Linked DNA regions of Saccharomyces cerevisiae S288C. The gene in region 1 interacts genetically with each later gene. Each region holds a gene or a part of one and is shown on either strand. Other genes may lie near its edges.

Region 1 (3,122 bases):
TCTTCGCTGTCGTTTTTGCTACAGATATGATTTTCATTTTCCATTGAAGTCTATTGTGCCACTTAATCAAAATGCGTTCGATGATAAATTTACTAAGTTCTTTAATAACTTGGAAAACTAATACACTAAAACACATGCACGCCACGGAGTATGGACATTATAAACGTGTGAACATTTCAAACTCACAACTTGCATGACATTACTCTCTCTTTTGCATCCTTTATTCCTCGACATACCCCATTTCTCACTAATTTGGTATTAGTAATTATGCAGAAAGGTTCGAAGCTGTCAATTCTTTTTAGACATGTTTCTTGAAAGTCTTTACAAAAATTTATCAATTGGAGGCATCTCAAGCTCTCCATTTATAAATGGAAGAAAATGAGCCTCTTCCCTTCAATTTTGCTTAATCAATAACTTCATGTATTCTTCCAATATAAGAGAAGATGAGTAGAAGGAGAAAATAATCACAATTATTCTGTAACTATCATATAATTTTGTTTACATATAATTAAGATACGAATGTGTTCGTTGAATAGGTATGTGGAGTCAGGGTATATCAGTTAGAAGAATGAGAATATTTCTTCTTACCGATATCTAAGGGTATATATCTATATTTTATCATATGTTGAATCTGCCTTCTCATAGTTAAAAAAAACAATAATATGAAATACATCAATAAGATGGGCCAAAATACTGGAATATCGAAGATTGAAAATAGCGACAACAAGAGGGAAATGACAGTGGCTCTAATGCTGTTATACCAGAATTTGAACTCTGGTAATCTTCTGATGAATGGACGGAATTCTTCTGATTTTTCTCCAGCTTCCAATTCGTTGTTTTCTTCATCTTGCTGTAAGGACATATCGAATTTTGGGGTCAAAAAGGCTAAAAATTGATTCAATAAAAATAGACCTAGACCATAACAAATCACATACCAGCCTTCGGCCATTGTAATACGAACCATAAACAAACATAACAAACCACCCAATACAGCCCACCTCTCCTTAGCGTGAGGAGTGACTTTATCCAAATAGTGTTGATATAATAATTTCATTGTATTCATCTTAGTGATTAAGGGGTTACTTGAACCACCGTTCATTGTATCAGAGCTATCGTAATCCATCTTGCTTCCTTTTTTTGATACTCTATGCCTTTCGTGTAACACTTAGTCCCAAATCGAAATCGCCTTTCTTGTATCGTTATTTTTCTTATGTATAATTCGTGTTCTACTGCAGAGGCGTGTTTTGACAAGTTTTTTTTTCCTCTGCGAACGAAAAACCCACAATTTTTAACCTCATTGAGGTAAGGTTTTCCAGAGGAGAGGTTGAGGAGCCCTGCGAAGCAATTATATTGAATCATTCACATGCTTGTTATTGTTCTGCAGGGCTTGGCAGGTTTTTTATCAGTATGCATAATTGAAGGAGAAAGTATACATGAAAGGTTTGACTAACTAAGGGAGAAAACTTCCATTTCTTACATAGATCATCGCCATTCTATGTCAAAAGCGCTATAATAAACTTCATCGATCTATTTACGGGCTTTCATATGATTTATTTCTGCTAGATTTTGTTGGTAATGGTCTGTACTTGTATTGCGCGTTGCATTATTGTTATTCATCTCTGGTGAGGGAACAACTGTCTCAAAGATTCCCACTTTTTTATCCGTTGAATGATGCCCGTAGTATACCTATATCCAGTTTCCTCATTCTAAAAGATTTTTGCGTTTCCTGTTGCTGCATGATGGTTTTAAGGCAGTTATACTATTATAGGTCAACTAAACATATTTATCAGGGCATTTCCATTACTTCCATAATAATTATAAGTGTGTTCCTTGTATTAGGCATATTTACATATGGCTGTTCCATCTCTAATTTACCGTTGAAAAATTCAGGTAAATTTGGCGTTTTCTATTTGGAACACATAAATTATTTGTGGGTAATGGCAAATCTGCTTAAATGTTTCAAGTATGTGCCTCAAATGAGTATAAACTGGATGGGATGCTCAACAGTAGGTTTATCATCAAAGTTTGCATTGATATCATTTTTGGCTGAATCTATCGATTTATTAGGTAGACTGGTAATACCGACCAATGCATTGTTTTACGAGATACCATTTAATTCAACGCCCTTTTGGGTAAAATTGATACAATTTGTCACCTTATTGGTCATACTTTGTCAAGTTCAGTATGTTTACGTAGGACGGAAACCACGGTTGCCAAAAGGAAAACTATAACAAGGTCAGCTCATTCTCTACCTTAATGGCTTTGCGATGTTTGCAAATTTAAGGAGTTTTAGATAATGCATTTATTATTACTATTTTTTCTTTTATTTTTCCATATTTACAGGCGACATACTATGATAGAATAGAATCTAAAGTTTTTTACCCAAAATGGAGGTAGCTATCTTTACACCAGTGCCAACATGTCTTTCTGGGTCTGATTGAAAGTCTTCTAGAGTTACAGGTTTTGTATATTGTAATAAATTATCTAACTCTGCTTTCATTTTTTTTCTTAGCTCTTCATCTCTTGTAATAATGAGAGCATTCGATTCCAAATCTAATGAATACGCCCTTCTCGTATAGTTTGAAGATCCTATAACCGTGATAAAGGGTTTCCAATTGTTAGCATCATTTTTATCACGAGCGGAAAGCCAAATACCTTTTGCGTGATATGACCAACCATTCGGCTTATTTACTACGCCTCTTTGCCATTCTCTTAATGTAATAGCATGATCTTGTCTGTACCTACATACATCTTGTAGAAATTTTTTTGACAGGTACAAGTAAGCACCAGGTAAATTTGATGAGACGCCCTTTGATTGGTAAAAGCCGTTTGCAAAGGGGGAAGCTGTTATTACATTTGCCTCAGCAACCGGCGTTGCCAGCAGTTTTGCTTTGATGTCTGGCAAAATATTGAAGTATCCTGCAGTGAACGTCCAAGAAATGGCATTGCTTGTTATAGTGGAAAGCAATGACAATATTGTTCTTTTTTCGGTCGATTTGTCATTATATTTGGGAAAAAGTGGAGTGAATTGAGAAATTGGGTAAACTAATGTGGAGAATTGACCCACGGCAGTAATCGGGAGGCTTTGTTTAGAACTCTTTAAAAAGCCATCTAGTAATTGA
Region 2 (3,783 bases), on another chromosome or scaffold:
GGTGTTAACTTCTTCCTTTATATATTGCAGGGCTATTTTTCCCTCCTTTCGCTATTGAAAGAGATCACTATTCCCGTGCTCTGTTCTGATTAAGTAGGAGGACAAAAACACTTGTAACTTAATCCACCTATTCTTATTATTTCTGGCTAACGTTAGAGGTCTTGAAGCGAAACTGTTTAACATTGTAACTTATTAATCTTTTCGTATAAGCTGTTGCCTGATTAGGAAAGCTTGAAACTGAAACACGCGAAAGTGGCTAGGATAAACCAAGCAAGGGTCCATATCATCGCCGTTCTTATGCAGAAACAACTGCAGTGCTTGTAAAGCTATAGGCAATCAAAGCGTATGCGACAGAGAGTAGGAAGGTCCATAGCTAGGGCTAAATTTATAAATACTGCCTTATTAGGAAGAAAGAGACCAGTTATGGAAAGAGTCGTCGATATAGCGCATGTAGATTCAAGTAAAGCAATCCAACCATTGATGAAGGAACTAGAAACCGACACTACAGAAGCACGATACAAAGTACTACAAAGTGTATTAGAGATATACGATGATGAAAAGAATATAGAACCTGCTCTCACGAAAGAGTTTCACAAAATGTACTTGGATGTCGCTTTTGAGATATCGTTACCTCCACAAATGACAGCACTAGATGCTTCACAACCGTGGATGCTATATTGGATTGCTAACTCATTGAAGGTAATGGACAGAGACTGGCTTTCAGATGACACCAAAAGAAAAATTGTAGATAAGCTCTTTACTATTAGTCCTTCAGGAGGACCCTTTGGTGGAGGTCCTGGCCAATTATCTCATTTGGCCAGCACTTATGCTGCAATTAATGCTCTCTCCCTTTGCGATAACATAGATGGATGCTGGGACAGAATTGATCGAAAAGGAATTTACCAATGGCTGATATCGTTGAAAGAGCCTAATGGAGGATTCAAGACCTGTTTAGAAGTCGGAGAAGTGGATACAAGAGGTATATACTGTGCCTTGAGCATAGCAACCTTATTAAATATTCTTACAGAAGAGCTTACAGAAGGTGTGTTAAACTATTTGAAAAATTGTCAAAATTATGAAGGTGGATTCGGCAGTTGTCCTCACGTAGATGAGGCACACGGAGGCTATACTTTCTGTGCTACAGCTAGTCTAGCAATTTTAAGGTCCATGGACCAAATAAATGTTGAAAAGCTTTTAGAATGGTCTAGTGCTCGTCAATTGCAAGAAGAACGAGGATTTTGCGGAAGGAGCAACAAACTTGTTGACGGTTGCTATAGTTTTTGGGTTGGAGGTTCGGCTGCCATTCTTGAAGCTTTTGGATATGGCCAATGCTTCAACAAACATGCTCTTCGGGACTACATATTGTACTGTTGCCAAGAAAAAGAGCAACCTGGTTTGAGAGATAAACCAGGGGCCCACTCAGACTTTTACCATACAAATTATTGCCTATTAGGACTGGCTGTTGCGGAAAGTTCATACAGTTGCACTCCTAATGATTCTCCACATAATATTAAGTGTACTCCAGACCGCCTAATTGGATCATCGAAACTTACTGATGTCAACCCTGTCTATGGTTTACCAATAGAAAATGTAAGAAAAATTATCCACTACTTTAAATCCAATTTATCTTCTCCAAGTTAACCACATACTATTATATATATGTATTCAATCTCCTTAGCGGTCAGTCTCTTTCCAATTTCTTTCTCTTTACGTTATCATTGTCCTTTATTCGACACTTCGGCGACCGCTTTTAAAACGATAATAACAAAGCGAAATCTTATTGTAACACATCCTTGCTTAATTACATACGAAGCAAAAAGTGAGAGTAAGTTCAAAAACAGCGGGCAATCGTACTCCCAAATTTTGTTGTACCTCATCAATCGGCTTGACTGCGATTTAAACATACCCTTTAAACATGGATATATTTAGGCATACTTTTGGAAATAATGATGATTCCTTTATTCGAATCCCAGGTGCTTTTAGAGAAGAACCACCTGCTGATTTGAATGGAAGGACAGAAGATCAAAACAGCAATACAAATGAACCCACACAGAGCCGGGATGGACGCTTAAAATCAATACTCCATTTTTTATTTCAAGCTCCCCTAATAGTTCTTTATTATTTATTGAATTTCATTGTCCGAAGTTCACGTCTTTTAAAACCTCTATTAAGACTTCACGGATTCTACCAGAGGAAGCACAACCGTTTACTAGACCACAGTTCCCAATTACACCGTCTTTTAGAAAATCTAGAAAACGAAGCTCAAGCTGTAACGTGTTCTGAAGGTAACGGGAATAATGATGATGGCAGCAATACTGACAGTACGAGCAACAATGAGAGCAGTGGGGTCCAGTTTAGTTTTGGTTCTTTATACAACCCTGAAAATGGAACATTTTCCAAAAGCATTATGCAAAATAGTTACACTGAATTATTGGATGCTTGTAGCGAACAAGTGAAATTTGGAGTCATTTATTTACATGACCCATTGTTGGATAATCATATGGATTACGTTAATAAAATATTGTGCTCAGAAGCCTTTGTTAACATGATAAGGAAGTACCAGGTATTACTATGGTATGGTGACGTTACTACATCCGAGGGGTTGCAAGTTTCCAATGCATTAAAAATTAGGCAATATCCCCTACTTGGAATAATTTCTTTAAAGGCTGAGAAAAAAATAGAGTTAATAGCAAGAGTTGAAGGTTCTATTTCTAACTACAAAGCCCAAGATTTGGAGGCCATATTCTCCAAGAATTATTCTCGATTAATTCAATTGCGTCAGCAAAGACAAAATATTGAAATGCAGAGATTAATAAGACAACAACAGGATTCAAGATACCAGGATTCCTTAAGACGTGATCAACAAAGAGAATCAGAAAGATTGGAACAGACCCAAAGAGAACAAATGGAAAGAGAGCACCAAAGAATAGAAAACCAATGGCTATTGTGGAGAAAAAGCCAACTAAAACCCGAACCCTCTTCTGATAAAGATGCAAGCAAAGTTGCGATCAGACTAGAAAATGGGCAGAGATTAGTGAGAAAGTTTGACGCATCTCTACCAACGGAGGAGATATATGCCTTCGTAGAATTACAGTTGCATGACATGTTGAACTCAGAAAACGATACTTTACCCGTATACCAACCTGCTAATTATCAGCACCAGTATAGCTTCAAATTGATCACGCCGGTACCAAGAAGAGAGCTTGATTTATCTACCAAAATATCTGACGTTAGCGGCATATATCCATCAGGAAATATTGTAATGGAACGCCTGGACGAATGAAAGGAATTTCAAAAATAGTCATCTCAAAACGTTTATTCTAAAGTTTAGTTAAATTTATATCTACACAACTTTATGCAATTAATCTTTTATATCTACGTTGCCATCCTTTAATCTACACATCCAAAGATAACAAGAGGCGCACATGCCTTTTGACTCAAGTGTCACGTGCATCAGTTTTTCTTCGCTACCTTGTTTTTCTTTCCTGTCTTACTGATGGTACCGTTCTTACTCTTCTTTTTCTTCTTCTTGATCAAATTCTGCATGCCCCCCTTAAATACAGATGAATACTCTTGCCAAAATTGATCTAACTCACTTGCTTTTACCACTGTTGAGCATTTTGTTTTCTTGTCATGCGAGCCATAAGACATTCTGATTAATAGTGGGTATTCTCTGTCAGATCTTGAGCTAACTGAAATTTCAGAAGCCTTTTTAGATACATCATAGTCAGGATGGTTGGTAGAATCAAATTCAAGATTCCCTTCCACAGGATCGTGTTCTAT
Region 3 (5,123 bases), on another chromosome or scaffold:
ACTAGCGACGATGATACATCCTCACAATCATCATCTTCATCACATTCTGATGATGAAGAACACGGCGGCCTTTACATAAATGCAAGATTTTCCAGGAGGTCTGACTCTGGAGTTCATTCACCAATAACAGATAATTCCTCTGTGGCTTCATCTACTACTTCCAGAGCTCATGTACGTCCCATAATAAAGTTGCTTCCTGATACCACTTTGAATTATGGATCAGACGAAGAATCTGATAATGGCGAATTTAATGGGTATGGTAATGCTGTGTCACATAACGTCAATACCTCCAGAGGCTATGATTACATATACGATTATAACTCGGTCTACACTGGTGATACTTCCAGTTTTTTACCAGTAGATTCATGTGACATTGTAGATGTTCCTGAAGGAATGGACTTACAAACAGCCATTGCAGATGATAATGCATCAAACTATGAATTTAACAATGCGGTAGAATCCAAGGAAAAACATGTTCCACAACTACACAAAGCTTCAGCAAATAATACAACACGTCAACATGGATCGCATATGTTATTATATGACGACGACAATTACAGCTCTTCATCAGATAGCGAACAGCAATTTATTGAAGACTCACAATACAATAGTAGCGACGACGAAGAGGAAGAAGATGACGATGACCAAGAAGTAGACGATAACCACGATGAAGGACTTTCACTGAGGAGAACATTGTCACTTGGGAAATCAGGATCTACCAATTCTTTGTACGATCTAGCACAACCATCACTCTCTTCGGCAACTCCTCAACAAAAAAATCCTACTAATTTTACAGGGGGTAAAACTGATGTAGACAAAGATGCACAACTGGCTGTCAGGCCGTATCCGTTGAAGCGCAATTCCTCTTCAGGGAACTTCATATTCAATTCAGATAGTGAAGAAGAGAGTAGCAGCGAGGAGGAACAAAGACCATTACCCGCTAACAGTCAGCTGGTTAATCGAAGCGTATTGAAAGGCAGTGTGACACCAGCAAACATATCATCTCAGAAGAAAAAAGCCCTTCCAAAGCAGCCAAAAGCGTCCGATAGTTCACAAAGCTTTAGAATTGTAAATAATACTCCTTCACCAGCCGAAGTGGGGGCGAGTGATGTTGCCATAGAGGGTTATTTCTCTCCTAGAAATGAATCTATCAAGTCTGTTGTTTCCGGGGGAAATATGATGGACCATCAAGATCACTCAGAAATGGACACTTTGGCAAAAGGATTTGAAAACTGCCATATAAATAATGCTAGTAAGCTAAAGGACAAGAAAGTTGATAGCGTGCAAACCACTAGAAAAGAAGCGTCTTTGACGGATTCGAGTAATGAAAGCTTACACAAAGTGGTGCAGAATGCAAGAGGTATGGCAAGCAAGTACTTGCACTCTTGGAAAAAGAGTGACGTCAAGCCACAAGAAAATGGAAATGACAGCAGTTAGAAGAAAGAATTTTGAAGTCAACATGAAGAGAAAATAAAAATCCAGGTAGTGTGGATCAGTGCCGTCTTTAGGATCCAAGTAAGCTGTAATCGACTGGCATTGTCAAGGACAAATGTAGACAGCGAAGCAGTTATTTTACGTACACAATTAAATTCGCTCCAGATTTCAAAACTTCTTTATACCTTTACAATATTTGGTACTTATGTACAAGAACTTCTTGAGCTTCCATAGTCGTATGTGTGTTCTATATATTAGCAATTAAACGCAGCTGATCTAAGATATGTTCGTGGGTAATGATTTTCAGATAGAGTACAATCAATGTTTTCTTCGATCTTTAAAGGGTTTTTCCTTTATAAAGAAGACACCACACAACAGTCTAGAAAGTAAACAAAACAAACTACGACACGGCTTGTTTTAGGCACAACTTTGTTTTAGGCAGAGCTTACAGTAATTGGCAGTATTGATATCCTAAAGCAGTATTAAAACAATTTAAAGGTTTGGTGAGGTATCTGGCCAATGTCAATAAGCGAAACACCTCATAATAAAAGCCAGGGACTGCAAAAAGCGGCTGGTCGTCCTAAAATTGTTGTTCCTGAGGGATCGCCTTCTCGTAATAGTGATAGTGGCTCTTTTACTATAGAGGGTGATACTTCCCTTAATGACGACTTGTTAAGTATATCTGGCAGTGTCACACCAAGAGCGAGAAGATCTTCGAGATTAAGTCTGGATTCAATAACGCCGCGAAGAAGTTTTGATTCTAGGACACTATCTGTTGCAAATAGTAGATCATTCGGTTTTGAAAATGAAACACATAGTGGGTCCATGGACTTTTCGCCATTGGGAAATAACTCCATCTATGAAATTGTGATGAACACAAGGAGGAAAAACTGGCTCAATTACCCCACTGTTGCTGATATTCCACAAGTTAGCCTAAGCAAAAATGATCTGGATGACCATTGGAAAACTCATGTTATCGAATACGTCAAAAACATTAAAAGTGATTACCAAATATTTCAAAGCACAAATAATATAAGAAACATGAATCAGATGGAACAGTTAAAAGAACTGCGAGAAGGGGAAAATATGCATGAGGAGTCGTTTGAAGCAAATCTGAGGCAAGGGGATGCCGAGCTAATAAATAGTATACCTGACTTTTACTTTTCAGACAAATTTCAATTAGATAACCCTCGAACTTTTCATAAAGTGTTGGACGCTATCGATTTATTTTTAACGAAACTAGACATGAAGAGACAAGCGGAAAGGGATGAGGCTTTTTCTGAGTTGAGGGACAGGCTAAACGATTTTTTGGATATCGTAGAAACATTACTGGTTACAGAGATATCCAAATCCTCACACAAATTTTTTCATGCGCTAAGTGAAGTTGACAATATTCAGAAAAGAGCCTTGGACACAATGAGCGAGCTTAAGGAGCTAGCACAGAATATCAAGACCATTGACGCAGAGAATATAAGAAAAAAAATTTCACATTTAGAAATGATTTTTAAGAGGAAGAATGTAGAGAAACTAGAACAGGGATTATTACAGGCGAAGTTAGTGCTGAACAAAACAGATGAGTGTAAGTCAATGTATGAGGAGAACAAGTTGGATAACTGCTTAGAGCTGATAAAATCCATCGATTATCTGATTAAGGGGGATGATTCAATAAACGAAGATGTTCAGAGTTGGACTAGGTGTTGGCCCTATAAATTAAGCAATTTGAGGACGATACCTGCTTTGTCAGCAACGAGAGAGTTTTTAACCAATATGAAGATTGAAATAGGAGGAAAGTTCAGCCTACAATTATCGATTTTACTAATAGATGATTTAAGATCCTTTTGCAAATCAATCAAACCAAAGGAAACACTACATAGGATACAAACGGGATCTAATGATAAAAAGCAAACTATATTTACTGATAATTTTTCTTCAAAGATAACCGAATTAATAGTCAGATTGAATAGATGCGAAGAATTAACGAGTGCCTTTGACCTATACAGGGAAAAATCTATCACTGAGCTTAAATCTATCATAAAAATTTATTTGCCAACAGAGAATGCACACGCTGACAATAACCACGATGAAAAACATCTTAACAATGGCTCTACTAGTGGGTCTAAACTTTCAAGATTAATAAAGGAGCAAACTCCTGCAGAATTTCAGTCCATGCTAGTAAACATATTCACGCACGCGCTCGAAGCTCTTCGAAGACTTTATGGGCATCAAAAGTTGCTTCTAGATATCTCTCTTAACGAGCTAGCATCTGTTAAAAGTCCAAACGAAAACCAGCACAACATGATTACGCAATTGGATATACGTACTGGCATCAACGAAATAATCAGAATTATTCAGTTACGTACAGGCAAGATCATTGCCGTAAGAAGAGAATTGAACTTATCTCTACGGTATGATTATTTCTTGAAATTTTATGCTATATGCGTTATTTTTATTCAAGAATGTGAAGTATTAAGTGGTGAATTTTTAACGAAATATTTAAGTAATGTTTTAGCATCTCAGATCAAGCATTATGCAAACGCACAAAGTTCAAAAAATTACCGCAACATAAAGAAAAAGATTGATGCTGAAGAATGGATTCCATATATTGTGGACTCCTCTATTCAGAGCGATGTTAACGACATTGTGTCAAGTATAGACATAGACCCATTGAGTTGGACAACTATTTTAGACATGGTAGGGGGTTCTCATGATTGCGAAAATGGCAGAAGCGAGGACAAGGAAAAAGATGAAGGAAATGAAACATATCAAGGTCATAGGAAATCGGTTGTTGTTGGCGATAAAACTTTTGTGGCCAGTAGTTCTCTGCTCGCTACCATTGAGGTTATTAAGGAGCTAATGGTTCTTTCCATAAACCTTCCCTCGATATACTTATCAAATTTCGAGAAGTTGTGCTATGACGCACTACAATACTACAACAGTAGCGCCATGGCATCTGTCACACAACCTGGAAACTCACTTTTAAAAACGGGTAGAAACTTATCTATCATGGGAGAGTCATTGGACTGTCTCGCAGAATTTGTGATTATTGTTCAGAGATTTTATCAAAGGCTTTCCAACTCTAACAGGGATTTTGAGCCATTCGATGCGAGTCATTATACAACCCTGTTGGGGCAATTCCAGGCCTCATCGAATAAAATATACATGGCCAATGCCCCACCTCCGCCTGTATAAACATGATAAAGAAAAATTAGATTTCAAGCTATGTACCATTATTTACTTTTTAAACTAATGAATCATCGATGTTATATTCTCTAAGAAATTCCGCTTTTTTTTTAGAACATTATCTACGTATTATTTTTCCAAACATGAGCGGTGAAGAAATGATCAAACAATGAAGATCGAGCGAGGTCAGAGCTTTCCAAATGCGATAGGAAAGGACTTTTTCCAGCAGCTATGAAAATGTACTTCAAGTATCTCGTCAGTTGCTTTACAACTCATCTCCTGTAATTTCCAACATAGCATCGTTCACGACACAGTTGGCGCTGAACAAATTTTGTGCATAGAGCAAGCAGCCGTTTCTTGTCTGCGTCAAGAAGAAAGATAAAGGTAGAATGGACAGCGTGTCAAACCTTAAGAGCACAAATTTTCAGAACAATAATGACCCAAAAGAATCTGTAGAAGAAGCAGTGCTAAGGTATGTGGGAGTCGACTTGAAGAATCATATTAAAAAG

What was found.
Region 2: mutations in RER1 (region 1) and UBX3 together harm fitness more than expected from each alone (negative genetic interaction), as found in Saccharomyces cerevisiae (2 studies listed by BioGRID).
Region 3: of RER1 (region 1) and VPS54, changing one enhances a phenotype caused by changing the other (phenotypic enhancement), as found in Saccharomyces cerevisiae (2 studies listed by BioGRID, with this or other methods).

What each region holds. Positions count from the first base shown.
Region 1 is NC_001135.5:109,917-113,038, reverse strand, and holds RER1 (protein retrieval receptor), read right to left. Parts: upstream 1,124-3,122; coding exon 557-1,123; downstream 1-556. Other genes in the region: YCL002C (uncharacterized protein), read left to right, coding at 1,364-1,405, 1,482-2,231; PGS1 (CDP-diacylglycerol--glycerol-3-phosphate 3-phosphatidyltransferase), read right to left, coding at 2,369-3,122. UniProt on the Saccharomyces cerevisiae protein: Involved in the retrieval of endoplasmic reticulum membrane proteins from the early Golgi compartment. Required for correct localization of SEC12, SEC71 and SEC63 in the endoplasmic reticulum.
Region 2 is NC_001136.10:292,892-296,674, reverse strand, and holds UBX3 (clathrin-mediated endocytosis regulator UBX3), read left to right. Parts: upstream 1-1,915; coding exon 1,916-3,283; downstream 3,284-3,783. Other genes in the region: RAM1 (protein farnesyltransferase), read left to right, coding at 346-1,641; RNA-binding signal recognition particle subunit SRP14, read right to left, coding at 3,454-3,783.
Region 3 is NC_001136.10:494,149-499,271, reverse strand, and holds VPS54 (Vps54p), read left to right. Parts: upstream 1-1,953; coding exon 1,954-4,623; downstream 4,624-5,123. Other genes in the region: protein phosphatase regulator REG1, read left to right, coding at 1-1,437; NSI1 (Nsi1p), read left to right, coding at 5,004-5,123. UniProt on the Saccharomyces cerevisiae protein: Involved in retrograde transport from early and late endosomes to late Golgi by linking the vesicle through the t-SNARE TGL1 to the Golgi, leading to the membrane fusion between late Golgi and endosomal vesicles.